7 linked regions of the Callithrix jacchus genome follow. The protein of the gene in region 1 purifies or fractionates together with the protein of each later gene. This does not show direct contact. Links are inferred from orthologs where the notes say so. Each region holds a gene or a part of one and is shown in the gene's direction. Other genes may lie near its edges. The genes, in order: SLC39A4, ABCB10, MGAT1, AGPAT4, VPS45, LEMD2 and LETMD1.

The links.
Region 2: the proteins of SLC39A4 (region 1) and ABCB10 purify together in Homo sapiens (affinity purification with mass spectrometry; 3 studies listed by BioGRID and IntAct, counting the BioPlex papers as one, with this or other methods). This does not show direct contact. The link is inferred for Callithrix jacchus from reciprocal best matches to the Homo sapiens genes SLC39A4 and ABCB10.
Region 3: the proteins of SLC39A4 (region 1) and MGAT1 purify together in Homo sapiens (affinity purification with mass spectrometry; 3 studies listed by BioGRID and IntAct, with this or other methods). This does not show direct contact. The link is inferred for Callithrix jacchus from reciprocal best matches to the Homo sapiens genes SLC39A4 and MGAT1.
Region 4: the proteins of SLC39A4 (region 1) and AGPAT4 purify together in Homo sapiens (affinity purification with mass spectrometry; 3 studies listed by BioGRID and IntAct, with this or other methods). This does not show direct contact. The link is inferred for Callithrix jacchus from reciprocal best matches to the Homo sapiens genes SLC39A4 and AGPAT4.
Region 5: the proteins of SLC39A4 (region 1) and VPS45 purify together in Homo sapiens (affinity purification with mass spectrometry; 3 studies listed by BioGRID and IntAct, counting the BioPlex papers as one, with this or other methods). This does not show direct contact. The link is inferred for Callithrix jacchus from reciprocal best matches to the Homo sapiens genes SLC39A4 and VPS45.
Region 6: the proteins of SLC39A4 (region 1) and LEMD2 purify together in Homo sapiens (affinity purification with mass spectrometry; 3 studies listed by BioGRID and IntAct, counting the BioPlex papers as one, with this or other methods). This does not show direct contact. The link is inferred for Callithrix jacchus from reciprocal best matches to the Homo sapiens genes SLC39A4 and LEMD2.
Region 7: the proteins of SLC39A4 (region 1) and LETMD1 purify together in Homo sapiens (affinity purification with mass spectrometry; 3 studies listed by BioGRID and IntAct, counting the BioPlex papers as one, with this or other methods). This does not show direct contact. The link is inferred for Callithrix jacchus from reciprocal best matches to the Homo sapiens genes SLC39A4 and LETMD1.

What each region holds. Positions count from the first base shown.
Region 1 is NC_133517.1:53,215,004-53,219,062, forward strand, and holds the start of SLC39A4 (zinc transporter ZIP4), read left to right. Parts: upstream 1-1,259; 5' UTR 1,260-1,340; coding exon 1,341-1,532; intron 1,533-2,053; coding exon 2,054-2,317; intron 2,318-2,676; coding exon 2,677-2,869; intron 2,870-2,984; coding exon 2,985-3,121; intron 3,122-3,195; coding exon 3,196-3,367; intron 3,368-3,657; coding exon 3,658-3,830; intron 3,831-4,004; coding exon 4,005-4,059. UniProt on the Homo sapiens protein: Selective transporter that mediates the uptake of Zn(2+). Plays an essential role for dietary zinc uptake from small intestine. The Zn(2+) uniporter activity is regulated by zinc availability.
Region 2 is NC_133520.1:21,036,244-21,039,014, forward strand, and holds the end of ABCB10 (ATP-binding cassette sub-family B member 10, mitochondrial), read left to right. Parts: intron 1-428; coding exon 429-660; 3' UTR 661-2,271; downstream 2,272-2,771.
Region 3 is NC_133503.1:73,372,577-73,376,639, reverse strand, and holds the start of MGAT1 (alpha-1,3-mannosyl-glycoprotein 2-beta-N-acetylglucosaminyltransferase), read left to right. Parts: upstream 1-1,263; 5' UTR 1,264-1,476; intron 1,477-1,629; exon of another isoform or gene 1,630-1,740; intron 1,741-1,930; exon of another isoform or gene 1,931-2,409; intron 2,410-2,690; 5' UTR 2,691-3,117; intron 3,118-4,063. UniProt on the Homo sapiens protein: Initiates complex N-linked carbohydrate formation. Essential for the conversion of high-mannose to hybrid and complex N-glycans.
Region 4 is NC_133505.1:167,620,959-167,624,458, reverse strand, and holds part of AGPAT4 (1-acyl-sn-glycerol-3-phosphate acyltransferase delta), read left to right. Parts: coding exon 1-43; intron 44-3,288; coding exon 3,289-3,487; intron 3,488-3,500. UniProt on the Homo sapiens protein: Converts 1-acyl-sn-glycerol-3-phosphate (lysophosphatidic acid or LPA) into 1,2-diacyl-sn-glycerol-3-phosphate (phosphatidic acid or PA) by incorporating an acyl moiety at the sn-2 position of the glycerol backbone.
Region 5 is NC_133519.1:9,988,385-9,992,494, forward strand, and holds the start of VPS45 (vacuolar protein sorting-associated protein 45), read left to right. Parts: upstream 1-1,310; 5' UTR 1,311-1,432; coding exon 1,433-1,525; intron 1,526-2,201; coding exon 2,202-2,336; intron 2,337-4,110. UniProt on the Homo sapiens protein: May play a role in vesicle-mediated protein trafficking from the Golgi stack through the trans-Golgi network.
Region 6 is NC_133505.1:42,070,276-42,073,775, reverse strand, and holds part of LEMD2 (LEM domain-containing protein 2), read left to right. Parts: intron 1-949; coding exon 950-1,095; intron 1,096-2,095; coding exon 2,096-2,197; intron 2,198-2,278; coding exon 2,279-2,381; intron 2,382-3,500. UniProt on the Homo sapiens protein: Nuclear lamina-associated inner nuclear membrane protein that is involved in nuclear structure organization, maintenance of nuclear envelope (NE) integrity and NE reformation after mitosis.
Region 7 is NC_133510.1:68,390,127-68,394,353, reverse strand, and holds the start of LETMD1 (LETM1 domain-containing protein 1), read left to right. Parts: upstream 1-1,427; 5' UTR 1,428-1,436; coding exon 1,437-1,558; intron 1,559-2,111; exon of another isoform or gene 2,112-2,112; coding exon 2,113-2,264; intron 2,265-4,227. UniProt on the Homo sapiens protein: Plays an essential role for mitochondrial structure and function, as well as thermogenesis of brown adipocytes.

The sequences.
Region 1 (4,059 bases):
GCTGTGTGCAGACAGACTGGGCACAGGGTCAGGACCAGACCAAGACCTTTGTCCTGAAGCTAAAATAGGCTCTGGAGCCATGGGAGGCTCCAGCCGGCCACTGGTACTGGGGTCATGTGGGAGAGAAAGGGCCAGTTTGGGTCCGCAGCATCTTCAGGCTGTGTGCAGAGCTGCCCCCCTTGTGGTCCTGGGACCCAGAAATTTTCTACACCCACAGGTGGTCTCCCCTAAGGGCCCCCAGAGGGATACCACTGTGGGTGGGCCTAGCGAGAAGGACACCATGAGATCTGCTGCATGGCAAGGTGAGGCCAGAAGGGGAAGCACCCTGACCCCAGGACACTGGGCCCAATGCCCGTCCTGCCCTGCTGCGCCCTGCCCTGTGCATGGCAGGACAGAGTCCTTGGGCCTCAGGAGCCCAGCTCCCCACCCCAGCCCCACCCACAACACTCAGGGTCAGGCTGGCTGGGCTGGGCAGGAGGCGGCATCCAGGCTCCCACTTCGCAAAGCTGCCCTGAGATCTGCTGCCCCTTCCCCCAGACTTCCTGCCTCCACCACCGCAGTAGAGATAAGGCCTCTGGGCTCAAAGGCCAGAGAGGGAGTCCGCAGGGAGGGCAGGGCTGGGAGCCACAGCCTCCCTGCCCCCAGGCCTAGAGCTGGGGTCTTGCCCCAACCTTGTCCCGACACAAGCCTGGCCAGGTGGCTGCTGGGACCCAGGTCCGTCTCCTGTTTGTCTGTGCTGGAGCTTCTTGGGGCTGTCCTCAGCCTAGAGGAGCGTGACGCAGCAGGCACCTTTTCAGTTCTTTCAACCCCATCACCGTCCCCAACAGGGACCACAGCCCATGACCCAGGAGGAGAGAGGCCCATGTCCCCACCCCCAACCGGGCCACCAAGGGCGTCTGGGCAGCCTCTGCTAAGGGCTGTCAGGAGGGGGCCGAGGCCTGGGCCTGGGGCTCTAAGAGCATCTGTGAACCTCTGCCCTGCGTCCCCCAAGCTTGGAAGCAGCCCCCAGATGGAGAGCCAGAAGGGGACACCCTGGCCCTGCCTCACAGCTTGGGGGGTTGCTGGCAGAGGAGCAGATACCCAGACTGCCCATCCAGGGGAAGGGGCCCAGCCCTTGCCCCCCACAGGCAGTGGCTCCAGGCTGTCGGGGAGGATCTGCCGCTGGAATGGTTAACCCAGGTAACTCCAGCAGCCAATCACAGAGCTCTGCAGGAATACCTGGGAGAGGTCCTCACGCGGGCGGGTCCTAGCCCAGCCCCAGTCTGGCCCCAGGCAGCCCCAGCAAAGCCGCCCTCAGCCAGCCCAGAAGCAACACCCACTGAGCACACTGGGAGCTGAGTATGGCGGCCCTGGTCCCGCTAGAGCTGGGGCTGCTGCTGGCTGTGCTGGTGGTGACGGTGACGGCGTCCCCGTCTGCTGGTCTGCTGAGCCTGCTCACCTCTGGCCAGGGCGCTCTGGATCAAGAGGCGCTGGGCAGCCTGTTAAATACGCTGGCGGACCGTGTGCACTGCACCAACGGGCCGTGTGGAAAGGTAACAGCCCCACCCGACGGGTCCCGCAGCCCTGGCCTCTTGCCGCCTGCTCCGCCCTGCTAGCCAGCAGCAAAGGACCCTGGGCAAACTCCAGGAGGCGGCGGAGGCTGGCAGTAGTACCTGGGCACCCTGCCCTGCCTGCAGGCTAGAGCCCACCCTTCTGCTCATTGGGGGCAGACGGGTCTGCCTCTCCATGGACACACAGCCCCTCTTCTCCCCAGGACCCTGGGGCCACCTCCCCCTGCTGGCCCCAGCCATCAAATTGGCAGTGGCTCTAGGGGAGTCCCCCGGGAATGGGGGACCACTGTTGGGGACCCCTCTGCATGCACCCCGTAGTTGGGGAAACAGAACAGGGGCCTGGGGAGACAGAAGGACATAAGGAGTTGAGAATGGGTGGCGGATGCTGTTGGACATGAGAGGGAGAGGAGTGGGAAGGGGCCTGCTGGGAAGCCCCTTGGCTGGGCTGGCTTCTCCTCTCCCTGGTGGGCCCAGCGCCCCTGCCCACCCATCTCTGCCCACAGTGCTTTTCTGTGGAGGATGCCCTGAGCCTGGGCGAACCCCCGGGTCCAGTCCTGGAGACTGGGTATATCGCCCGCCTCAGTGCCGCTGCTGCCCTGTACCTCAGCAACCCCGAGGGCATATGTGAGGGCGCTCAGGCTGGCGGCTGGGCCTCTCATGCGGATGACCTCCTGGCCCGGCTCGAAAGCCCTGAGGGCTTGATCCTGGGCCTGAGCAGGCTGCTGCAGAGGATGCAAGCCCGGGCTGCTGGCCAGGCCCTCAAGACGGTGAGAGAGAGACCAGGCAGACTAGGGGAATGGGTGACGAGGGCCCCACAGCCAAGGGGGCCGGGCCTGCAGAGCCTTTAGGGAGCCTGGGGGCCTGGAGAGATGCCTGGGGGTCGGCCTCGGGCTGGGGATTCACAATGTGGGGCTCACTACTGATCAGGTGGGGGTCTCATGAGGAGGGAACCAGAGGGCTGAGTGGGAGCCTGGGGCAGCTGGTCCCAGCAGGGAGGGCTGCGGCTCCAGGGAGGGCTGGGCTGGTGGGGCACATCCTGCCTTGGAGGGAGATGCATCCAGCGGGTGGGTGGCAGAGCTGCATACAAGGTCACACTGAAGGCTGAGGCCAGGCCCCTCTTCCTCAGGCCTGCGTAGACATCCCGCAGCTGCTGGAGGAGGCTGTGGAGGCGGGGGCTCCAGGCAGTGCTGGGGGCGTCCTGGCTGCCCTGCTGGACCACGTCAGGAGCGGGTCTTGCTTCCTCGCTTTGCCCAGCCCTCAGTACTTTGTGGACTTTGTGTTCCAGCAACACGGCAGTGAGGCTCCTATCACGCTGGCCGGTGAGGCCTGGGCTGGGCTGTGGATGGGGGCGCCCCTGAGCCCCAGCCTCTGTGTCCCTGGGCAGCAGGGCTGGAGCCCACACAGACTCATGGTGCCGACCATTCTCCCTGCCAGAGCTGTCAGCCTTGATGCGGCGCCTGGGGGTGGGCAGGGAGGCCCATGACAACCACAGTCATCAGCACAGGAGGGCCAGCAGCCAGGACCCTGTGCCCCTCTCTACCTCCAACAGCAGCTCCAGCGTGTGGGACACGGTGAGCTGTGCCCTGGGGTAAGATTGGCCCCACTGGGGTCTGCTCAGGCCCCTGACCTGTCCTGCCACTCCCAGGTATGCCTGAGTGCCAGGGACATGATGGCTGTGTATGGACTGTCGGAGGAGGCAGGGGTGACCCCGGAGGCCTGGGCCCAACTGAGCCCTGCCCTGCTCCAACAGCAGCTGAGTGGAGCCTGCACCTCCCAGCATGGGCCCCCCGTCCAGGACCAGCTCACCCAGGCAGAGAGTGAGTGCCTGCCCTGGCACTGCGCTGGCAGCTCGGAGGTGGGACCCATGGAGGGAGGAAGAAGTGGCTGCAGAGAATGAGGGATGGAGAGAGCAGGCAGGGGCTGGGGGTAGAAACAGCAGACACAGGGAAAGGGGGGTCTCCAGGAGGGGAGTGGCACTTTGAGGCAGGAGGGTCGGCTTGAGTGAAGGCCTGGCGCACACTGAGCACTTGCAGCCCCGGTGAGCAACACCCCAGAAGCAGGGGCTGAGTCTAGAAGAAAAGCTCTCACTGGCCTCATCTGCCCCCAGGCTATCTGTATGGCTCCCTGGCCACGCTGCTCATCTGCCTCTGTGCCATTTTTGGCCTCCTGCTGCTGACCTGCACTGGCTGCAGGGGGGTCACCCACTATGTCCTGCAGACCTTCCTGAGCCTGGCAGTGGGTGCACTCACTGGGGACGCTGTCCTGCATCTGATGCCCAAGGTCTGTCCCCCACAACCCTCCCTGACCGCCGCCCTTCCTTCCCCACCTTGGACTCCCAGGCCATGCCCTCCAGGGCCCTTACCCACCCCAGCACTGAACCCTGACCCCTCTCCCTGGGTCTGGGGAGGAGGTACCCTGAGACCCCTCCCCCAGTCCAGTGCCCCTACTCCCCAGGTGTTGGGGCTGCACACACACAGTGAAGAGGGCCTCAGCCCACAGCCCACCTGGC
Region 2 (2,771 bases), on another chromosome or scaffold:
TTAATAATTTATGTGATTATATGTAGGAAACCAAATTCTTTCTTCACCAAAACGTTTTAATTCTGTACCTCAAAGTGGATATAACTGAAAATGCTTCCCCCCCTTTACTTTAAATTGATGGAGGCTGAATAAATAATGAGAGTTGAAAAGCAGTGGGCAGACTGAGTCATAATTGAGGGTTCTAGGTCCACTTCAGACATGGTTGCTATCAATCCTAATCATTCTGTAAGCTGCAACTGTACAGAATGCCTTTCTCCTTATATCACAGTATAGTTTTATGGAGATCAAGGAGTCCCAAACAGCTGAAATTTTGATCTTAGTAAAAATTCATTGCTCAGGAAGGGCCGCTGTGTATCAGGAAGTACATGAGCCTGGAGTACGGCTGGCACTGACATCTTTGCTTTCTTATGTGTGTGCTCCTGTGTCAGTGCGCTGGATGCTGAAAATGAGTTCCTTGTTCAAGAAGCTCTAGATCGACTGATGGATGGAAGAACGGTGTTAATTATTGCCCATCGTCTCTCCACCATTAAGAATGCTAATGTGGTTGCTGTTCTTGACCAAGGAAAAATTACTGAATATGGAAAACATGAAGAACTGCTTTCAAAACCAAATGGGATATACAGAAAACTAATGAACAAACAAAGTTTTATGTCAGCATAAAGAAGCAATTACTGGTAAACAATATGAAAGACTTTAATACAAAATAGTGACGCAGAAAAAAAGAGACTATATGAAATATGTAAACTATGTAACAAGTTATTTGAAAAATACCTATTTTTTCCAAAGTATGTAAAATATTATTTTGAAATGTACCTGTTCTCAAGATCTTTTTATTCAGAGTTTTAATAATTGCAACTTTTTAAATGTCTATAGCACTGAAGTTATTTTCAGGTTTTGTATTTTCTTTTATCGTGAAATATTTTAATGAATATAGCATGGCACCTCATTTTCTTTTCCTTGCTGTTAAAGATTGAAGTTATTGTCAAATGACAACTTTTAAAAGGGAATTACAAATAAAAAGCCTGATTATTTTAGGCCAGTTTACCAATCACTGTGTAATTCTTCTGGTAGTATTCCACCTGCTTTAAGTCTAATTTTACTAGGTAAAGTAATGGAAAATGAAAATTTAACCCTTTATTTTATTCTGATAATCTCATGAAGCAAACCTGGTTAACTAGTTAAAGTCAGCTGGAAAGAAGGGAACATTTATGTTGCCCATCTCCTGTGTCTTCAAATGTGTGAGAGTTGAGGAATATGTGTTCCTATGGGAACTATGTTTCAGTATGTGCAGTTTTCAACATTTTGGCACATGAAAGCCTGACATGTTTTTAAAAGGGCAGAAACTGCATTTTTTACACAGGAAAACCTGTTTTTTTAATTCAATGTTTATATGAGTACTTTTGGGAAGCAAGGCATTAACTGTTGGGTATTAAGAATGAATGAATTTTGCATTTAAGTTGTTTGAAGGCATGTATTTTGAAAAATATCTGTTACAAATTTATAATTCCAAGACAAATTGAATCTTCATTTTTTTATAATACTTTTAGAATTTCATTAATAAGGCTAAAATCTGAGGACTATAACTACCATTTAGCCTTAAGACATTTAAGTTTGGAAGTTCTTACTATTCAACAGAATAACAAAAAACCTTCAGAATGTATCACTCTCCTGAAAAGAAGACATTAATAAGCCCTTTTATTTATGGTTATAGTTTTATTAAGTCTCAAAATTCCTAAAGCAATGCTGACAACCATTGAATTTGCTATAATTTGTATCAGTGCTGTTAATTTGCTGTTGCCTTTAGAAAAAGTGCTTTTTCTCCACTGATGAGGCTAGACTCCAATAAGTAATTATGTCAGTGTAAATAAAACGGAAGTATTTCCATGAACTAAGCATTTATTAGTTCCCTGATTAGACTGGAAGACGAAACCACTATTTCATGAAAAACATGGAATATTATATTTCATTCTTCATAATTTATTAATGAATAAAATTGATATGAATGAATGAATGTAGTGTTCTTTGAATTAGTAAACAGTATATCTGTGACAATCATTTTAACAAGTTCTACTTGTGTTCTTTATAAAGTGTGATTTTCAGAAAGCAAACAAAACATAATTACAAGGTTGAATCTGAGAAAAATAATCCTTGTACCATAGAAGTATTTACAAAATTGCATTTCATTGTTATGTTTTATTTTCTGATACATGATATTCAATTATATCTTTAGGTAATATTTTAATCATAGATTAAAATTTATAGTGAACTTTATCTGTGTCTGTCACTTTTTTTTAATGACCTAAGAACCAAAGCAGCAGTCTGTCACTTCTTATAAAACTACATTGTTGCTTACTAGAATTTGGCTGTGGAGATTCAGGAATCCAGAAAAGACTTAACATAGCCGGGCGCAGTGGTTCACACCTGTAATCCCAGCACTTTGGGAGGCTGAGGTGGGTGGATCACGAGGTCAAGAGATCGAGACCATCCTGGTCAACAAGGTGAAACCCCAGCTAAAAATACAAAAATTAGCTGGGCATGGTGGTGGGTGCCTGTAGTCCCAACTACTCGGGAGGCTGAGGCAGGAGAATTGCTTGAACCCAGGAGGCGGAGGTTGTGGTAAGCCGAGATCATGCCATTGCAGTCCAGCCTGGGTAACAACAGCGAAACTCCGTCTGAGATTAAAAAAAAAAAAAAGAAAAGACTAACATTACACAAATAGAAAAACATGTTGTAATTAAAAGTCCCATTCATTCCTCCTGATCAAAGTTTGT
Region 3 (4,063 bases), on another chromosome or scaffold:
GACTTTAGCGTTTTATTTCATGCAAACTAAGAAGCCACTGTGCGGTTTGGAGCAAAGAAACGACAGGATTCCCGTGGCTGCTGTGCGGAAATGACAGCTACTGGGAGGGTGGAGAGGACAGGGTGACCTAGGTGTTCAGGTGAGAGATGAAGCGGGGCTGTGGATATGCCGAGATGATGCAGCCTAGACACAGACTGAAGGCAGAGTCAACAGGGTTTCTAATCAGATTGTGTCAACAGTGTGAGAGAGTGAGGCTGGCTCTTCGGGTTCTGGCTTGAGTGAAGGGAGCCGCCATTAATGCTGATGGGAAAGACAGGTGGGCGGAGGTTTGGAGATGGGGGAAGAAAAGGGTCTTATTTTCTTCCTCCTTGGAATAATATATTCCAAGCAATATATAATTAAGCAATATGTATTTTTTCCATTAAGAAAGTCCCAAATATTATACTGTTCCAAATAAAAAAATCATTTCAAGACTCCTGACGCAGCAACCATTACAATCCCAGTACTGTTAATGTTCCAGTCAAGTCAGTCCGTGCTCTGGAGACATCCCATGACGCAACACAGGCCAGGAGACCAGGCCTAGATTCCGGTTTTCGAAAAAGGGGGCAAAAACGGAGGCGGCAAATCCATCCCCAGTCCTGGCAAGATTCTCGAAAATGGCGGGAGAGGGCTGCATAAGAACTTCAAAAACGAGCAGCGGGTTCCTTGGATTCAGCGTGAGGGGAAAAAACCGCGGGGCAATTTTGGAACTTAAGAGTCCATGTTTGAAGGAGCCGGAGGCTGCCTGCGAGGAGCCCCGGGCACGACTGTTAGGGCCGCGCCGGCCAGGCCGCCCTCCTCCAGGCAGCCTCGGTTGGGCGGCTTCCGCGCCGGCGGGCCCGGCCGCAGGTACCTGGCCAGCACTTGTCCGAGGGAAGCGCGGGCGCACCCTGCAAGAGTCCTGTCTCGTCAAGAGAGGCAGCGAGAGACAGCAGCAATGAACGAAACAGAATCTTCCTCAACTACTGCTACACAAGAGCCCCCAGCCGAGGAGCAGGAACACACAAGCCCCGTTGCTTTCTGAAAACCTTGTCGCCAGGACCCGCGACAAGCAGGGGAGCAGCGCTCTTTTCGAAAAGCCAGGCCAAGCGGGCCGTTGCTGGGCGACCTTTGGGCGGAGGGAGAGAGCAGGGCTGCCCCGCACCGGCTCCGTCCTCACTTCAGCATCCTCGCCCCGCCCCTCCCGCTCAAGCCCCACCTAGCACCCGGAGGGCTGACGCATGCGTGCTTCTTCCCGCGTGGCTCCAGGAGCCGCGCGCTCCCACAGCCGGCCAGTCTCTTCTGCCCCGCCCCCTCCTGTACGGCCGCTACTCTGCGCCCCGACTTCGTTCTCACAACCTGGTTCTGCCCACACCTGTTCTTCAGCCCTGTGACCAGTGGCTGTAGAACAATCTCAGGCCTGGCCGAGCCACCTCCCTCGCTTCCGTGGTGGCGGTGGTGAAGGGCTGGGGACGGGGTGGGGGGAGGGCGGGTAGAAAAATGGGCGGGATGTGGGAGGTGGCGTTGCTGGCCCACTTCCGGATGCGGGCGGAAGTAGCTGCGGTGGATGGTGGGAGGGGGGAAGGAGTGCGAGGGGAGGGCCGGGCCGTCGGGGGTCGAGGGGGTGGGGCCTGGGCTGGCGCAAGGGATCGGGCCTGGGTCCTGGATTGCTAACCCGGGCGGGCCGCGACTCCTAGCCGAGACCGGGCGGGTGGGCACCAGGTAACGACCCGGCGCAGTTAGGGCTAGGGTCGTCCGCAGGGCGGACCGGTGGGGGTCGGAGTCCAGGGAGGGTCGCGGTGTCACCCCCTGCTGTGAACCCGGAGCTCGGGGTTCCGGGGAGAAGGGTGGGAGGAGTTAAATTCTTGGAGGGGGTGGAGGTCATGTGGACGCCACGCCCCTACAGGAAGGCAGTGGGGGAGGGAGGGGGAGAGACAGAGACAGGGAAAGTGTGAGAGTGTGTGTGTGTCTGTTTTGGAATAAACTTGGAGGGGAGGGGGGCGACAGGGGTGAGCTTCCGGGCTGAGAAATGGGGACACTGGGGGGGTACTGCAAGCAGGATTCGGGCCTTAAGCATTCCAGCAGAGTGTTCTCTAGCCCCGGGAAGGACTTTGACAGTGGTTGGGAATTATATCTCTGGCACAGTTTTGCAAGCAGAGGCGGAGCTGAGGGTTGAAGGAAAAGGAGCAAAGAATGCATGTGGAAGGTGCCAACATCTCGGTCTGGAAAGGATTTATTAACTAGTTTAGTTGAAGAAGGCTGGTGAATTAAAACAGCACCCTAAGAAGCTTGGGAGTTTCGATTATTATGTTGTGCTTTAGACGGGAGGGCAGGAGAAAGGGCGTTATTTTCTCTATTTCTTAGAAGACAGTCCTCAGTAATTTTTCTGTGGTGAGAATGGGTACCACCCATATTTTATCCTGAATCACGTATATGTTTGTACATATATATAATATGTTTATATATAAACACTTGATGAGGTGACTATTCTGGCGTGTGATACCTAAGTAGATGTTTTGTATAATCTTGTGCAGCGTTTAACGAGGGTTTTTTGATGATAGAGCCTAGTATCGACTCTTAATGTAGGTAGGGAGTGGAAACTAGAAGGTTTTAAGACTCTATTTGGGTATATACTAGATTAGAGAATGTTATAATGTTTAAATGTTCTGCAGGTTAACACCGAAATCTGCCTCCTGGGCCATGCGGCTTCTAAGACCTGTTTCTTCTCATGAGCCCCAGCAGAAGACTATGGGCCAGTTCTCACAGTGGATAACTTCCCCTGCTTGAGCAAGAGATGGGATAGTATCTGGGATCTGTCTATCACCAGACTCTGAGCTTAATAAGGCAGCTGAATGAAGGGATGTAACGGACCCCTGAGAGTGGCACTGAAGTCTGCAGTGGGGGGGGAGGGGCCTGGACACACCCCTTCCCCCCCAGACTCCTCCCCTTCAGGGTCAGCTCAGCCATGGACTTTGGACCTGGATAGGAAGAGAGAAGCTGCACTTTGTTTGGTGGATCTGATTTGGGATTCTCAGTTTTGGAAATGGAGTGCTGGATGGGGGCTTGACGATCTCCAGGGGAGCAGCTGAGACAAGAAAGGTAAGGCTCCTGTCTCATTTCCCACTTAGTGACTTGCTGCGCCTGTGCAGGTGTTGCGCGAGTGTGTTTGCCGAGACTACTATTCAGTAAGTCTTATTCAGATGGGTACACTGGAAGCTACACCTTTCCTTTACTCTGTCCGGATGTATACTTGTTCCCAACCTCTCCTTACCCAGGTTGGATGAATGCCTTGGATTGTGAGCAATAGCAGTTGTGAGGTTAGGCCAAGGAGAACATGAAAATAATTCAGGCTTCTGAAGGGAGGTTGGATTAGTTGACGTTTAAGGGCCCTTCCAACAGGGAGATAATAGGATTCCAAGTCAGTCTGGGTTAAGACTGGAATGGATTACCTGGGCAGAGGCAGCTGCTCTGTTTTGGGGAGCTAACTGAATAGGACTGTTGGTAGGGGGGAGGGGGTGGGAATGGTCTAGATAACCTCCTAAGTTGTCTCTCTTCCTCCTTCTAAAACGGGAGCTTAGGCCATGAAAGCTCAGCAAAAGAGCCGAGTAACAGAACATAGGTTTGGGAGTCAGAAGTACTTGTGTTCTAGCTTTGACTTTTTTAGTCAGTGTTCAACCCTACACAGGCCGATTAATCTCTGCCATGTTCTCTTCACCTACTAAATGGGGGAAAAACTAACTTTCCATGTTCACAAGTTGTTACAAGGGGCAAATGAAACAATGAAGGATTTTGAAAAGTATCCAGGGCCATGCTCATAGGAAACAATAACACTGATATTGCTCAATATGCTTTAAAAGCACGGAAACATCTCCAAATTAGGAGTTCTGTTTTCTTATTGAAATAGTGTGCTGGCAAGAACCCAAGAAGATGTCCTTAATTAAAAGTCTGCCCCTGAATCTGTTTCATCCTCTTGTTAAATAATACTTGAGATCGTCAAGTTGTAGAACAGGTGAATGGATCCAAGGAGAACTTGGATTAAAGAATT
Region 4 (3,500 bases), on another chromosome or scaffold:
TGCCAAGTGCTCGGCCTGGCTGCACAAACTCTACCAGGAGAAGGTCAGTGCACTGGGCACCAGGGGTCCCTTCATGTCACAGCTGTGGACGCGCCGTGCTGCCGTGTGGTGGCACAGGCATTTTCCTGGTAGGTGAGATCTCACAGCCAGTTATTAACGAGTCTGCAGCCAGCCCTCTCTCAGCAATAAAGAACATTATCTTTTAAGGAGGGGCTGGGCACAGTGGCCTATGCCAGTAATCCCAGCGCTTTGGGAGGCTGAGGATGGAGGATCACTTGAGGCTAGGGGTTTGAAACCAGTCTGGGCAACATAATGAGAGCCTCTCTTTACAAAAAATTAAAAAAATTAGCTGGGCCTAGGGGTGTGCACCTGTAGTCCCAGCTACTGGGGAAGATGAAGTGGGAGGACCGCTTGAGTCTACGAGTTCGAGGTTACAGTGAGCTATGATTGTGCTGCTGCACTCTAGCCTGGGCAACAGAGCAAGACCCTGTCTCTAAAGACAAGTAAGTGAAAGCAAGCTACATCCAGAGCTGTCTTGTGGAGGCCAAAGTCGGGAGCAGCTCTGGGTGGCACGCAGGCATGGTAGCCAGTGGGAAGCAGTGTGCCCCCTGCTCTGGCCCTCAAGGACAAGGACCACTTTTAGGACTGGCAGTTGTTTTTTCACTTAAACCGGAAGGGTCATGCTCCTTAGAGGGGCAGCAGTGGCCTCAAGGCTCGGCGCCCCAGTAAGTCCTTTGCAAGTCCTGGCCGTGCACTCGGGTGATGCCTGTGGCCTGAGGCCGAGGCTTGCGAGGACTCCTCATGGAGCCTGCCCCACCCACACCTGCTAAGAGGAGCCCCTTCTTCCCTTCTGTTCCCCCGCTTTCTCTTCTGTTCTTTTTTCATTCCTGTTCTTCCTCCCCTCCTTCCTTCCCCGGGGCCCTAAGACACATTATCTTTGCTGAGCTGAGCGGCTGGGAAGCTGAGCAGATGTGCTCTGTGCAGGTCTCCTCCGGTGAGCCTTTGTTGCCGGCTGCAGGAGGTGTTTGTCCCGGGAATCTGCCCCATCAGTAGGATCTCGTCCTCCTTTCAGCTTGTGGGTTGATGCTTCTTTCTGGAAACAAACAGACTCTCCTTCGTTCAGTGACTCCATTTCCCAATTCCAACTTTATACTGTGCCAGACAGTAACATACAGAAACAAAAACACGAAGTCCTTTCCCTGTGGGGCAAATTTTACTACAAAATGAGTTGTAGGACCAAGATTGGTCGTGGACATTCTGCTTTGGGAGCCTGAAGTGTGGCCGGAGCTGGCTGCCCTGGTCTCTCCCCGGCTGTCTGTGGGAGGTCCTGTGGCAATGTCATGGGCCAAAAGTGAAGGGTGGGGGTGAGATTTAGTGTTTTAAACCAGAGAGAAAGAAAACTTTAAAGTGAATGGGGCCAAATGTGGTGGCTCACACCTGTAATCCCAACACGTTGGGAAGCTGAGGCAGATCACCTGAGCTCAAGTGTTCGAGACCAGCCTGGCCAACATGGTGAAACCCCGTCTCTACAAAAATACAAAGCCAGGCATCATGGCGGGTGCCTGTAATCCCAGCTACTGGGAGGCTGAGGCGGCAGAATCCCTTGAACCCAGCAGGTGGAGGTTGCAGTGAGCAGAGATGGTGCCTTTGCACTCCAGCCTGTGTGACAGAGCAAGACTCTGTCTCAAAAAATAAAGTGCATGGGAAGTTCTGAGCTGTACAGCTCACAGAAAAGGGAGTGCTTTCTTTTTCTTGCTATTGATGCAGATACAAAAATCTTGGCCTAGCAAATGTCTTTCTGGAAACAAGACAGAAAAAGGCACGATGATGAGTTCCCCTCTGTGATATTACCATAAAAAAGTACTATAAAGACTATTACGGAAAATTCTTTCAAAAACCACATTTGCCCATTTTTAAAATGGGTTTTATGGCACGGAAATGACACCTTAAGAAAGCCATATATATATATATATATATATATATATATTTTAACAAGGTGCAAAAATATCACCCCCTTGCCTAGTTCCCAGGTGTCCCATGGCCCCAATCCAGGAGAAGAAAAAGCAGGCCAGGCTGGTGGGCAGGCGGAGTGCTGCTTCCTTCCCTGGCAGGGTTGGGTGCCACCTCTCTGGGCGTCGCCTATGCTGCTGTCATGGTGCTCACCTCTTTGTGTGAAATTGCTCGGTCTCCTCCACCATCTGATCGCTCTCACTGCTTGAGGGTGTGCTTGGCACACATTGATTATTCTCTAACTGCTTGATGATGTGGCTTCCCTTGGCTGATGTCCAAGAGCAGAGTCACATGACAAGTGACGCTTTGGACCAGGCTTGTGAATGGGCTGCAGGGGGCCGAGGACAGAGCAGAGGCACCTGAACTGCCCAGGGAAGGGCTGGGGGTTCTCCTTCCCAAATGGCCTCATTAGTGACTAATACTAAAAGTGACTCCGAGAGGCGAAGGAAGCCTGTGATTCAGTACACCCTGAATGGAAAAGAAAAGTGTGAGGTACTTCAGACTTTTCTATCTATCTCAAGTTGTTAAAGGAAAACAGCATAAATTTCAATTATATGGAAGCTCATTTTCCAGAAAACTTGACTCCTTAGAGAACTGGGAAATTACCGGGCTAGTTCATGGGACACAAACTGGACCTCGCCGTGACTCACGCGTTTTGTGTGTCAGCCACGTGCAACTTTCACAATAGCTGAGGCAGCTGCCCACGCTACAACCTGGGCAACTCCCTGTGGCTGCCTGGCTCAGCTCTGCTCCCCTCCTCACGGCCAGCACCACCCCTGGTGCATGTGGGCTGCCCCGCAGGAGCCGAGGAGAACTGGCTGCGGAGAAGGCCGGGCCGGGTGGCGAGCTCCTCCCTGACTGCCGGCCAGGTTTCCATGGAGTATCCACTCCCATCTCCCACTGACTTGCTGTAGAAGGCACTGCTGCCCCATGAGACAGACCGGGGCCTGGGCTCAGGGATGCAGGCGCTTGCCCGCAGCAGGTGGATCCTAGCCCAGGCTGGCCTGGCGCCAGTGCTCATGCTCCATGCCCTGCACTCAGTGACAGCTACAGCAGCCCTGCCACTCCCAGTGTCCCTGTGGGAGGGGGCAGCTGGTTACAGCATCGAGAAGACAGCAGCTGCCCACTAAGCACTCTCTGGAAGGAGCCACAGACCCCAGTTCTGCCGAACCCCATTGGCACCCGTGTGTGTCTGTGATTCCCTCAGAAGTGGGGCCTTAGGAGGGACCTGCCACCAAGCCCCGTGTGGCGTCTGAGGGTCCCCTTTCTATCCCCTAGGATGCCTTTCAGGAGGAGTACTACAGGACGGGCACCTTCCCGGAGACGCCTATGGTGCCCCCCAGGCGGCCCTGGACCCTGGTGAACTGGCTGTTTTGGGCCTCATTGATGCTCTACCCTTTCTTCCAGTTCTTGGTCAGCATGATCAGGAGCGGGTCTTCCCTGACGCTGGCCAGCTTCATCCTCGTCTTCTTCGTGGGTGAGTGGAGGGC
Region 5 (4,110 bases), on another chromosome or scaffold:
AAAATTAGAAAATGCCTAAAGGGAAGCTTTATTTACTTGGTAGAAAAATTGAAAAACAAAACAAAACACATTCTTCACAGTTTCAGAGGTGACAAAAATCTCTTATATTTCAGTGGTTCCGATCTTCCTTAAGGGATTTGAAAATTGTATATAATGTTGCATAATCTCAAGCACATTAATGCTAAAGTGCTATTGGTTATTTTAATCGTGTATTTCTTACAATATAAAGAATTTATTTGGTAACGCTGAATCTATTGACCACAAACTCTGTCATTATTTTGGTGAAACTATTCATAAGCATTTATAGTTACTGATTTCTAGCACTTGTTTCTCATCTTCCTGATTTTACAATTCCCCAAAGTAAAGGGGCAAAAACCAAACATCTATTCTCTTTTTCATAGGGGGAGATCTGTGTGGTGTAAACACAAATGCAGACCTTCCAAGTTGATGGTTTCAAGATTCAATAAAAACTTGAGAGTTTTTGCTTCGAATCCCCACGCTACTTTGTTTTAGCTCTACGGGATACGTGTTCCCTACCCATTTCAAAGGACCCAGGCAACTCGGCTCTTGCCTGCAGTTTCAGCGCGCGAGTTGGAGCTGGCAGAGTTCAATTGCTCAGGATGCTGAGTCGGGGGCAGGGCAGAGAGAGACACTCGCAGGTCCGGTGGTCCTGCAGGCTGCGGGCCCCCAAGGCCGACCCTAGCTGGAACCGCAGTCCTCTTCCCCAAAACATCCGTAAAAGGCGTTCCCTTTGTTCATTCAACAAACATTTGTTCAATTTCATATGCCCTCTGTCTTGGGAAAACCAATTCAGGCCTCTGCAGCCCCAACACAGAGGCACTGTTCCCGCCTTATTAATGACCCGGTGAAGCCAGGAAGACGAATCTCGACCACTGCTGCGCAAATACCGCGCGTGGTTTATTAAATGCCTTCTCTCTGAGTCCCAAATGGCCGGGAGCATTAGGCCACCTCCCTTGCCCTCATCTCTCGCTACCACGCAAGAAAGCGTTAATCGCAGATAGTGACCATGGCCCCGATCCGTCGTTCCTGCTTCCAAACAAGCTTTGTGCCAGCTTCCTCATTTTGCGAGGCTCCACTCTCCTGGGCTTCAGGCTGCGGCTGGGCCTCCGGGACCAAAGGCCAAACCGGGTCTAGAGTCCCGGCCACAGACACCTCTACATGCGGGTGTAGAATAGCGCCCCCGCGTGGCGGCGGCCCAGGGCGTCTCAGCCAGATTTTTCCATCTCCGGGGTAGGCTTGGTCCCCCGTACTCTCCAGCGGAACTACAACTCCCAGCACCGTGGTTGCCCGGACTCCCGGAAGCCAAGCCCTGCAGGGAGGAAGCAGCTGAGACCCCGCCAACAAACCGGGGGGTTAATTTAGCCAGAAAAGGGGGCGGGAAGGGCTCTGGGACACCTGTCAATTCGCCACCATGAACGTGGTTTTTGCTGTGAAGCAGTACATTTCCAAAATGATAGAGGACAGCGGGCCTGGTATGAAAGTACTTCTCATGGATAAAGAGACGGTGAGTTTGCTTTTGCTCAGCATTTGTGAAGGAACCCTCTCAACCTTACAAAGGCTGGTCTCATTCCACTGTAGGATTTAGCATTTAATGTAAAGATATGAAAATGGGGTCAGTTTGTGTGGGACTGAAAAGTTGTATAAAGCTTGTACGATGGATTTTCAGTCTAAATGGCTCCAGCCACTGCCCAGAGACTACTTCTACCCGGAACAATTTATTGGAATCAGAAATCTTTTTCTAAAAGCCTCTGAAAAGAAATCATGAATATGTCAGAGCACTTGGAAGACTTTGGGATGGGCCCACTGTTTCCACTCAACATTGTGTTTTAAAGTAAAGCTGTTGGAGCTCAAGCTGAAATGACAGGTTATTTGTGGGCCAAGACCAGAAAACAAAACTCGTTAAGGTGATAGAAAAAATTATTTTTGGAAATGTATGGATTGTTCCTGTTAAAAGAGAGGATTTTTTTTTTTTTTTTTAACCTTGAAGCTTCAGCTGAAAGGATAGAGTATATTTTTCATTCTCGTATGTTACCTACCTGTTTGGATGTTCAGTAAATGTTATTCCATATATTACTATTTAATTTATCCAGCTAAGTATTAATGAAAAAAGAGGCTAGATATGCTACTTGTTTTTATTATTCTAGACTAGCATACTTTTAGTTAATTCTTTGTTTTTACAGACTGGCATAGTGAGTATGGTGTACACACAGTCGGAGATTCTTCAGAAAGAAGTGTACCTCTTTGAACGCATTGATTCTCAAAATCGAGAGATCATGAAACACCTGAAGGCAATTTGTTTTCTTCGACCTACAAAGGTACTGCATAAACTGGGCTGCCATCTGCCCAGGCAGATGCAGAACACTCTGATCTGAAAGCATTAAGACGGCAAAATAAATTTGTATTATCATGATTTGTAATTATCATTATCGGTGGCATCATAACTATCCTGGATCATCAGTGTTATAACCTTCTTCTCGTTTTGTTTCCATATTTCAGTTGACCCCTTACAGCCAGTTCTTCCTTCAAGATATCTTTTAGGTTCACAGCTATTCCCATTGCCACTAAAGAGCTACTCTCAACAGAGACCACATGGCTTCATTCCTGGATTAACCTCTGTATCTGTCACATTGAACACCATCAACACTTCATTTTATGTACAGCTATGAATGTCTTGAATCTTTACCACTTTATTCACATTTACGCTCAGGAACCTGTAATGACTCAGTGTTACTTCCATGATTAAATCTTTATTTAGCCAGCAGTTAAAGCCCTTCTTTAGTTGAGCTGCACATTTGTATCCAGCCTTCCTATGTCCTAGATCTGCTTCTCCTCTATAGCCAGCTAGGCTGCCATTGGAATGAGCCATTCTACATGCTCATTCCTGTTCCCTATTTGTTTTTCTTCTTTCACTAATTAAAAGTTCTTTGGTCATTTGTCAGTTTTTGTCCATCACCTTCTAAATCTAGCTTGAGTCTCTCCTTTGAAAATCCTTTCCTAGGCCGGGCGCGGTGGCTCACGCCTGTAATCCAAGCACTTTGGAGGCCAAGGTGGGTGGATCACCTGAGGTCGGGAGTTCAAGACCAGCCTGACCAACATGGTGAAACCCCATCTTTAAAAAAAATAATAAAATAAAATTTAGAAAATTAAAAATTAAAATTCTTTCTTATTTTCATCTTATTTTTTATACTTTCTTGTTTCATATTCATGTTCTTCAACTCTAATGCATTTTACCATGCTTGTACATTATGTGCTTTCTGAAATGCAAATTTGATCATGACACTTCCGCTTGAAATTCTTGAATGACCTCTCATTGCTTTTATGATAAGGACAAAACTCCTTAATTGTAGGCCGCGAGGTGCAGCATGGTCTAGTTTCTGCCATTTCTCCAGCCTCATTTTGAACCATTTCACTTTTGAACTCTGCACCTTAGCCCCCCTAATCTTTCAATCCGCTATATTCCCCTTGTTCCGTCATGCCGCAGGACCTTTGCATAGGCCTCTTCCTCTGCTGTGAACTTCACTTCCTCAAGTAAAGCTTTCCTGGTTTTGCCGACCAGGTCAAACCTGCCTCTTATATGCACTTACAACACCATCTTTATCTCCCTATTGCTTGTCATGGTTTGAACTTTTGTATGGTGTGCGTGATTACCAGCAGTAAGCTCCATGAATACAGACACAATATCTGTTTCTTCTCATCCTGTATTCCCAATGCTTGCCACACAGTGGACACTCAATAAATAGTTGCCGAATTCATGAATACATGCTATGTTATAATAGTTTCCAATTGTTTCATATTTATAGCACTTAGTCATGAAAATTTGGTTCAAGAGGGATCTTAGAGATCATCTTGTTCGTTATTTCCTAACGTTTTTTATTAGAGAAACTCACTGCTATGTATTGTCTCTCAAACTCTTTTAACAATTCTTCCTTTTTCTTTTTTTCATTTTATATATTCTGTTATCTTTTGCCTTTTTCCACATGTTCTGAACTTTTAGGAATCTTTTAATTCACTTTGTTATTTTTGCCTAGCATATTGTGAAGAAGTGATTTTTGGTTTAAAAGATTTATTAAAATGTTTTGCTTTAAGATT
Region 6 (3,500 bases), on another chromosome or scaffold:
TACTAATTCCATCAGCACTGCATCCAGCATAAGCCCCTTGGGCAGCTCAGCCTCAAGCTGGATAACTGGATGCATGGCACGATTAAAATTCGTTGACTTAAAAAAAAAAAAAAAGCTGCCCTGAGTAGCTGAGCAATTTTCCTGTGTTAGAAAAGGTGGAGAAGAATACGGATTTTATCCTCAGCAGCAGTGCTCACTGAAGCTGCTAACACAGAAGAACGATGACACTCGCCTTTTCATGTTGGGGAAGGCAGCCTGGAGGGTGGCTGAGCCACTCAGGATGACCATGTTGAAAGTGGGTCCTGAGAAATCAGGACACTTGGGATGCCAGCCCTTCCAGCGTGCAACATCAAGAGCATGATATTCTCACCCTGGGCCAGCTAGCTGGAAGAAGGCTCTGGTGTCCACATCTCTGCAGGTCCTGACACCACCTGGCCAGAGACCATGGTGGCGCTGTGGCTGGGGTCTGGCCTCGGGGAGCCTGGTGGTTTTCATTCCCCATGAGCCTCACGGATGCCCTGTGATCTTTACGCTTAAACAGCTTCTGTGCCTCCTCGTCGCGGAGGAAAAGCGCAACCTCCCAGATTCTTTCAGTTCTTGTCATGCAATTGCAAAGCTAGTGATTCAGTAAACATTTCCATTTCTCTATGCTGGGGGGTGGGAATCCAATTTACAGTTTAATCTCCTGCACGCTGAGAGAGGCTGTCAAAGACCCCACAGAGGGGGACATCGCTTTAGCGGTAGGGGCTCAAATCTGCTGCCGTCTTTAAAGCTTTATTCATTCTAAGTAGCCAATGTGGGAAATTTCTGGAAAGCGTGTAGCCAGGATACCAAGACAATTCTATAAGCAAGTAGAGGCCTGACGTCCCCTCCTTCTTTCCCTTCCTTCTGTTTGAAGCGCCTTTCTTTGGAGCTCTTGAACATGTTTAGAGCCCTGTGTCCTTTGCAGGTTGAAAGGAGAAGACCAGTCTGAACTGGTGACGACTGTGGACAAGGTGGTCTGCCTGGAATCTGCCCGTCCCCGCATGGGTGTCGGCTGCCGCCTGAGCCGCGCCCTGCTCACTGCTCTTACCAACGTGCTCATCTTCTTCTGGTGTAAGTCTTTGGCCGCTTTCCCTCCCCTTCTATGCAGTCAGGTGCACTCCTGGGTGAGTGATGAGCTATAGAAATTCCCAGGCCCGGAGGGTTTATTTCTGTCTAGTGAACCTGAGGTCTGTCTCATAAAACAGAGGAGATGAACAAGTCAGCCTCTGCCCGGAGTTGTCTTTACCTTTGGAGATTGGTGGCAGGAACGTGAGGATAAGTAGAAAATGTCCTTGATTCAGGGCAGGGGACTGTCAGGTTTCCTGAGTGGGAGCCGGGCCTGGGCAGGAGCCGGGCCCCACCCCTTCTGGGCTCTGCAGGAATGCCAGTGTGAACCAGCTTCCAGCAGGACGCACAGTCGGGGCTTGGCCTAATTTTACTCCTTGAAAAATGTAAACATCTCCTGGAGAGCTACAGATACCTGATGAAAAGCAAGAAGGACTCAGGGTGCTGAGCTGAAAGGAGAGCACCAGTCTCATCTCCTGACATTAGGGGCTGCCTTTGAGCAGAGACCTCAGGGTGTCTCTGAAGGCAAAAGGCCAGGTCGCAGAAACCACTGCTCTCCAGAGTCAGTTGGAGCTGCAGATCACAGACCGCCTCGGTGTACACACAGCTCCCTCCCCCACACCATCAGGCACAGAAATCATTATCGGCAGCAGCATCTCCGAATACAAAGGGCCCTGGCATGTATATATGTATGAAACACCGCGTTCTGGTTCACAAGGGAGGAGATGAAAGCTCCGGAATGAGGCTGGGAGGAGCCGAGATCTGGACGGCTGGGGATGCCGCTGTGGTGACAGCCGGCGGGAGGAAGATGATCACTTAATAGTCTGTCCTCCTCCTGCATTTCTTGGTCCTTTGTTTCCTGCATGCTGGCCCTGAGCCTGACACGTAGTAGGCACCCAAACCCATGTGGCAGATCCCCGATGGCCTCCGTCACAGTGTCTTGTCGTTGGTGAGACCCACTGCCACAGGAAGTGTGAGGGAGTAATGGTGTTTTGTTCCCTCACAGGCTTGGCTTTTTTGTGGGGGCTCCTAATTCTCCTGAAATATCGGTGGCGGAAGTTAGAAGAAGAGGAACAGGCCATGTATGAGATGGTGAAGAAGATTATAGGTGCGTGGCCCCCCAGTGAGAAAAGGCCTGCCAGTGCCAGCTGGAAGGTCCTTGCCCTAAACGGTGTGCTCTCTCCTGCAGACGTGGTCCAGGACCATTATGTGGACTGGGAGCAGGACATGGAGCGCTACCCATACGTAGGCATCTTGCATGTGCGAGACACCCTGATCCCTCCACAGAGCCGGTGAGTCCCTGGCTGGGGCACTGGGCATGGGGTGAGGCGGGGTCTGACCCCAGTGAGCACTACAGAAGGAAGCCCAGAGCCTTGAGTCAGATGTCAGCCAACGGCAGCACATCCCCCAAGGCCAAGAGTGGCACTGTTCTCCCTCCTGCTGCTCCCCAGCGTGCTCAGCTCTTTATGGCAGGATGAGCTAGAGAAGACGTATGAAAGCGCAATCCTGCACCTCTGTAGACAGAACACTGGCAGTGGTGATACCAGTTGGGAGGCCTTGGGCTCCATGTAGTAGCAGCACCCTCCCCGCAAGGTGCAAGTAGTGAAGGATCTCCCAGGTCTCTGCAAGTGAAGCTCAGAGCTGCGTGGGCTCCAGGCACACAACAGTCAGGTCTCTGGTTCCACTGCTCTGTGATTCTCATGGTCCCACATTCCTCCATGGATGTTATCAGCAGGCTGGGATTCCTGATGGTTGCAGATGGTGGCCAACAGCAGTTAGGGCACTGTCTGCCTTGTCACAGCCAGCAGGGGACAAGTGGGCCTCCTATTGCTCTCTTAGAAGCAAGAGAAACTGTTCCCAGTAGCCTTCAGTGACACACTCCTTGAGGCTCTGTTGACCAGAATTAGTTACTTGTCTGTTTATGAGTCAGTCACTGGCAAGGAGGAGGAGATTGTTTTTCAAACTTTTTAAACCATGACCCTCAGCCAGAAACACCTGATACCTGCAACTTCGTGGTCCAGTTCCCACACACTCATGCATATACATGTAATTGAAAGCAAAGTTTCACACCAGTGAATGGGGTCAGCTTCCAGGGCACATGGTTTCATGGGAAGGGGTGGCAGGGCCATTGTCATGCACAGCTGCAGGGCTTCCACAAGGGCTGTGACTGCCAGAGTTGTACACTGGGGTCTGACAAAACCGGGGTGGAGAAGGGGACAGAGTCCCAGGAGATAGTCAGCAGGGCCCCCAGTGTTAGCTCTGGTTGGGGTCCCTCCCCAGCAGACTCTGCTGTGTTTTCTGGCTAGATGCTGTCATCTGCTGGGTGATGCTGAGAGCTCACCCTTGCTGAGTGCTCGCTGGGAGCCAGGCACTGCTCGGAGCTCTCCACAGCTGCAGACTCACTCCTGTGG
Region 7 (4,227 bases), on another chromosome or scaffold:
AGGGAAATAAACTCAGAACTAAAGTAACATATCCAAGGTAACATTCACAAAAAGAAATGGCAGTGCGAAGATTGAACCTACATCCAGGGCACCCACCTGGGATGCTCTACCACCCTCCATGAAGATTGAATATTTATATATATCCAGGAGGACTGCTAACTCTTGGAGGCAGTTGAGTACCACTTCTGAGAATCCTTCTTAGTTTCGAGTATTTATTCAAAAATGTTTATGGAGCACCTACTATGTGCTAACTATGGCAGAGTTGGAGGTGCAGCAATGAAGAAGGCAGAGAAGATGCTTACCCTCATTCTAGTTCAGGGAGCCATCAAACAAGGACACAAATATATAAACACTATAAGTGACAGATGCTATAAACAAAATACAAGGCTGGGCGTGGTGGCTCACGCCTGTAATCCCAGCACTTTGAGAGGCTGAGGCAGATGGATCACAAAGTCAGGATATTAAGACAATCCTGGCCAAGATGGTGAAACCCCCTCTGTACTAAAATACAAAAAATTCACCGCGTGTGGTGGTACACACCTGTAGTCTCAGCTCCTGGGGAGGCTGAGGCAGGAGAATCGCTTGAACCTGGGAGGCAGAGGTTGCAGTGAATCGAGATCGCGCCACTGCACTCGAGTCTCGGCGACAGAGCGAGATCCTGTCCCAAAAAAGAAAAAAAAAGAGGAGTAACATTAGAATAAGTGTGAAGTGTGTCCTTTTTTGCTGGCATTACTTCAGATAGGGTGGTCAGAGAAATCCTCTCAGAAAAGTAACATTTGAGACAGAGCTTGGTCTTCGGTAGGCTCTTAACGAAAACCATTTTCCCACAAACTTAGTTCTGGAAACGACAAAGAAAGGAAAAAGTGTACTTAGTCTGCACAAGGGCCGCTCCCAGGCCTCCAACATTCGCTGCCAGACTGTGACTGGAAAGTGGACAGTTCCCGGCCTATCCACGCCGCCACCATTAGAGGACGCCGCGGGTCCTCCCAGTCCCCAGGAGGCGCCATGGCCCCCGGCACTGCCAAACTGACATCTGGTACCTAACAGTCGAGGCCCCGACGCCCCGCGTCCAGGAAGAGGGCAAGGGCGGAGCTGGGAAGCCATGAGGCCCTAGGGAATCGCGGAGGGTCACTGGGCCCCTCAAGGAGAGGGCGTCCTCGGCATCGCAAACCCACACCAGTGGCATAAGAACTTGCTCCCTCAGGGACAGCCTGTTTCCGGCGCCTTTAAACCAGGAAGTACTGCTGTGTCCAATCCTGGCCCTCCTTTCGCACTTAGTCTTTGAGTCCTTCCTCTCCTGGCTTGTGCTGGAGCCAAGGAGGCTAAGGCTACCAATCAGCGCTCAGAAAAGGCGCATGCGTCTTCGAACGAACACCGCAGACGGTTAACTTTGACCCAAAAGCAACCTCCCCTCTCCCCCTTCTCTCGCTGTCAAGATGGCGCTCTCCAGGGTGTGCTGGGCTCGGGCTGCTGTGTGGGGTTCAGCAGTCACCCCTGGACATTTTGTCACCTGGAGGCTGCAACTTGGTCGCTCTGGCCTGGCTTGGAGGGGCCCTCGGTGAGGGACCTGTAGCGAGAAAAGCATTTTTGACGTCCAGGCTCTCAGTGTCTGAACCTTGCTTGCATTCTCTCTTAATTCTCAAGAGTTCCACGCCTTGGCCCTGGAATTTTTCTTCTTCTGCTCAGGATTCAAACTGCGATCCCCAGCCATAGTGATGTGGCTTCCTGGCCCTCTCTACTCTCAGTGCCCCCATATTGTCTGGTCTCCCCGCGTCTCCTGAGCTCATCTTTCAGCCTCACTTTTTTCGGCTCAGGTTTTGCCGCTATCTCGATTCCACCTCTCTCTGACTTAGCCTGCAGTTCAAATTGTCCCACAGGCATTGCGCTCTCTCCAGAGTCATACCCTGAGTTCCTTTCCTGCCTGGCCTTTGCTTGATCTTTGTTTCTCAGTCTGATTGCCTATCTCTTCTTGACCCCAAGATCTTCCTTGGATTTCAGAAGTGTCAAGCCTTGGCATACATTCTCCGAGACTCCTGCTTTACGTTAGGGACTCAAGGCGTGAGGGAGCTTCTAGGACCGGTTCCCAGATAGTCTCTTTGATCTTCCTTGTAGGTCTTCAAAGCTTCACCTTTCTCCAAAGGCAGATGTGAAGAACTTGATGTCTTATGTGGTGACCAAGACAAAAGCGATTAATGGGAAATACCATCGTTTCTTGGGTCGTCATTTCCCCCGCTTCTATGTCCTGTACACCATCTTCACGAAAGGTAAAAACGGAACTATAAGAGAAATTCCTGAATCAGCTCTTGGGCAGGATCAGAGAGTTCGAATAAATAAGATCATTTGCAGGTTCTGCTATGGGGATGTGAGCCAAGATATCTTATATTTCATAAATGCTTGTGCCTTAAACTAATTCTTATAAATTAGCACTTCTTGAGAATGTTTCTAGAAAGATGTTACGAGAAACAACTTATGACAGCAGCACGATGGGGGAGGGAGAATATAGGTATGTTCTTGGACTTTTCTTAACCACACACCTGGCTATAGTAGAAATCTTTTTGTCCAGCGCAGGGCAGGGATCTATGGCTGTACAGACCTGCCCTGTGATTGATTTCCTGTGACCCATAGGAAAATGAGGTCTAACCCTTGTTACAAATCTATGTTAGGTAGCATGTTGTAGTGGAAATAGCACTGCATAATACTTGGTTTCTAGATGTTTGGTTTCAAATCAGAGATCCTTAGTTACTAGGAGATGATATGTGTAGTGCCAGGTGTCTACTCTGGAGCCAGAGTGCCTGAATCACATTTCAGCTCATCACTGTGTGATTGGACTAATTAACTAACCTCTCTGTTTTTTGTTTTTTTAATCTGTAAAATGGGAGTTATAGAACCTACCTATTTATCACATGGTTGTGAAGATAAAAAAAATCGATATATGTAAAGTACACAGAACAGGTCCTGATCCTTAGTAAGTGCCAAATAAATGTTAGTGATTGTTATCTAAATGATAGATAACAATATTGTAGGTTGGTACAGAAGTAATTGGGGCTTTTGTCTTTCAATGGCAAAAACCGAAATTGCTTTTGCACCAATCTATAATATGCTCTATGATTTTTTTTTTTTTTTTTAAAGATGGGGTTTTACCATGATGGCCAGGCTGGTCTTGAACTCCTGACCTCAGGTGATCCACCCACCTCGGCCTCCCAAAGTGCTAGGATTACAGGCGTGAGCCACCGCGCCTGGCCAATATGCTCTATGTTTTTATCATAACACTGTACTAAACTTCACTGTCAACTCTGAACATTATCTTATTACTAGCTTCATGGACTTGAAAAATTACTTATCCTTAATCTGTAAAGTGGAGATAAAATTGGCTGCTTTTTCTGTTCTCATGTAGATAAATAGGATCAAATGAGAGAAAGAGATGAAAGCATTTGTGTTTGTTTTTAAACTTTGTATTATGGAAATTTTTAAACATACGCAAAAGTAGAGAGAATAGTGTAACAAAGTTCCATGTATTCACCTCACTTCATTATCGTAACTCATGGCTGCCAATCTTCGTTTATATACTCGCCTTAGGTATTATTTTGAAGACAGTTGAGACATCATATAATGACATGGAAATCATTGATAAATATGAAAGCCTTAAAAATAGATGCAAGAATTTTCATAGAATGAAGATTTAAAATATAGAAATATATTCAATTAGATTACTTTATTTATTTATTTATTTATTTATTTTGAGACGGAGTTTTGCTCTTGTAACCCAGACTGGAGTGCAATTGCACGATCTCGGCTCACCGCAACCTCCGCCTTCTGGGTTCAAGCAATTCTCCTGCCTCACCCTCCCGAGTAGCTGGGATTACAGGCACACGCCACCATGCCCAGCTAATTTTTGTATTTTTAGTAGAGACGGGGTTTCACCATGTTGACCATGATGGTTTCAATCTCTTGACCTCGTGATCCACCCGCCTCGGCCTCCCAAAGTGCTGGGATTATAGGCATGAGCCACCGCGCCGGGCCTATTTATTATTTATTTATTTATTTATTTTGTGACGGAGTTTCACTCTTGTTACCCAGGCTGGAGTGCAATGGTGCGATCTCAGCTCACCGCAACCTCCACCTCCTGGGTTCAGGCAATTCACCTGCCTCAGCCTCCTGAGTAGCTGGGATTACAGGCACGTGCTACTGTGCCCAGCTAAGTTTTTGTATTTTTAGTAGAGACGGGGT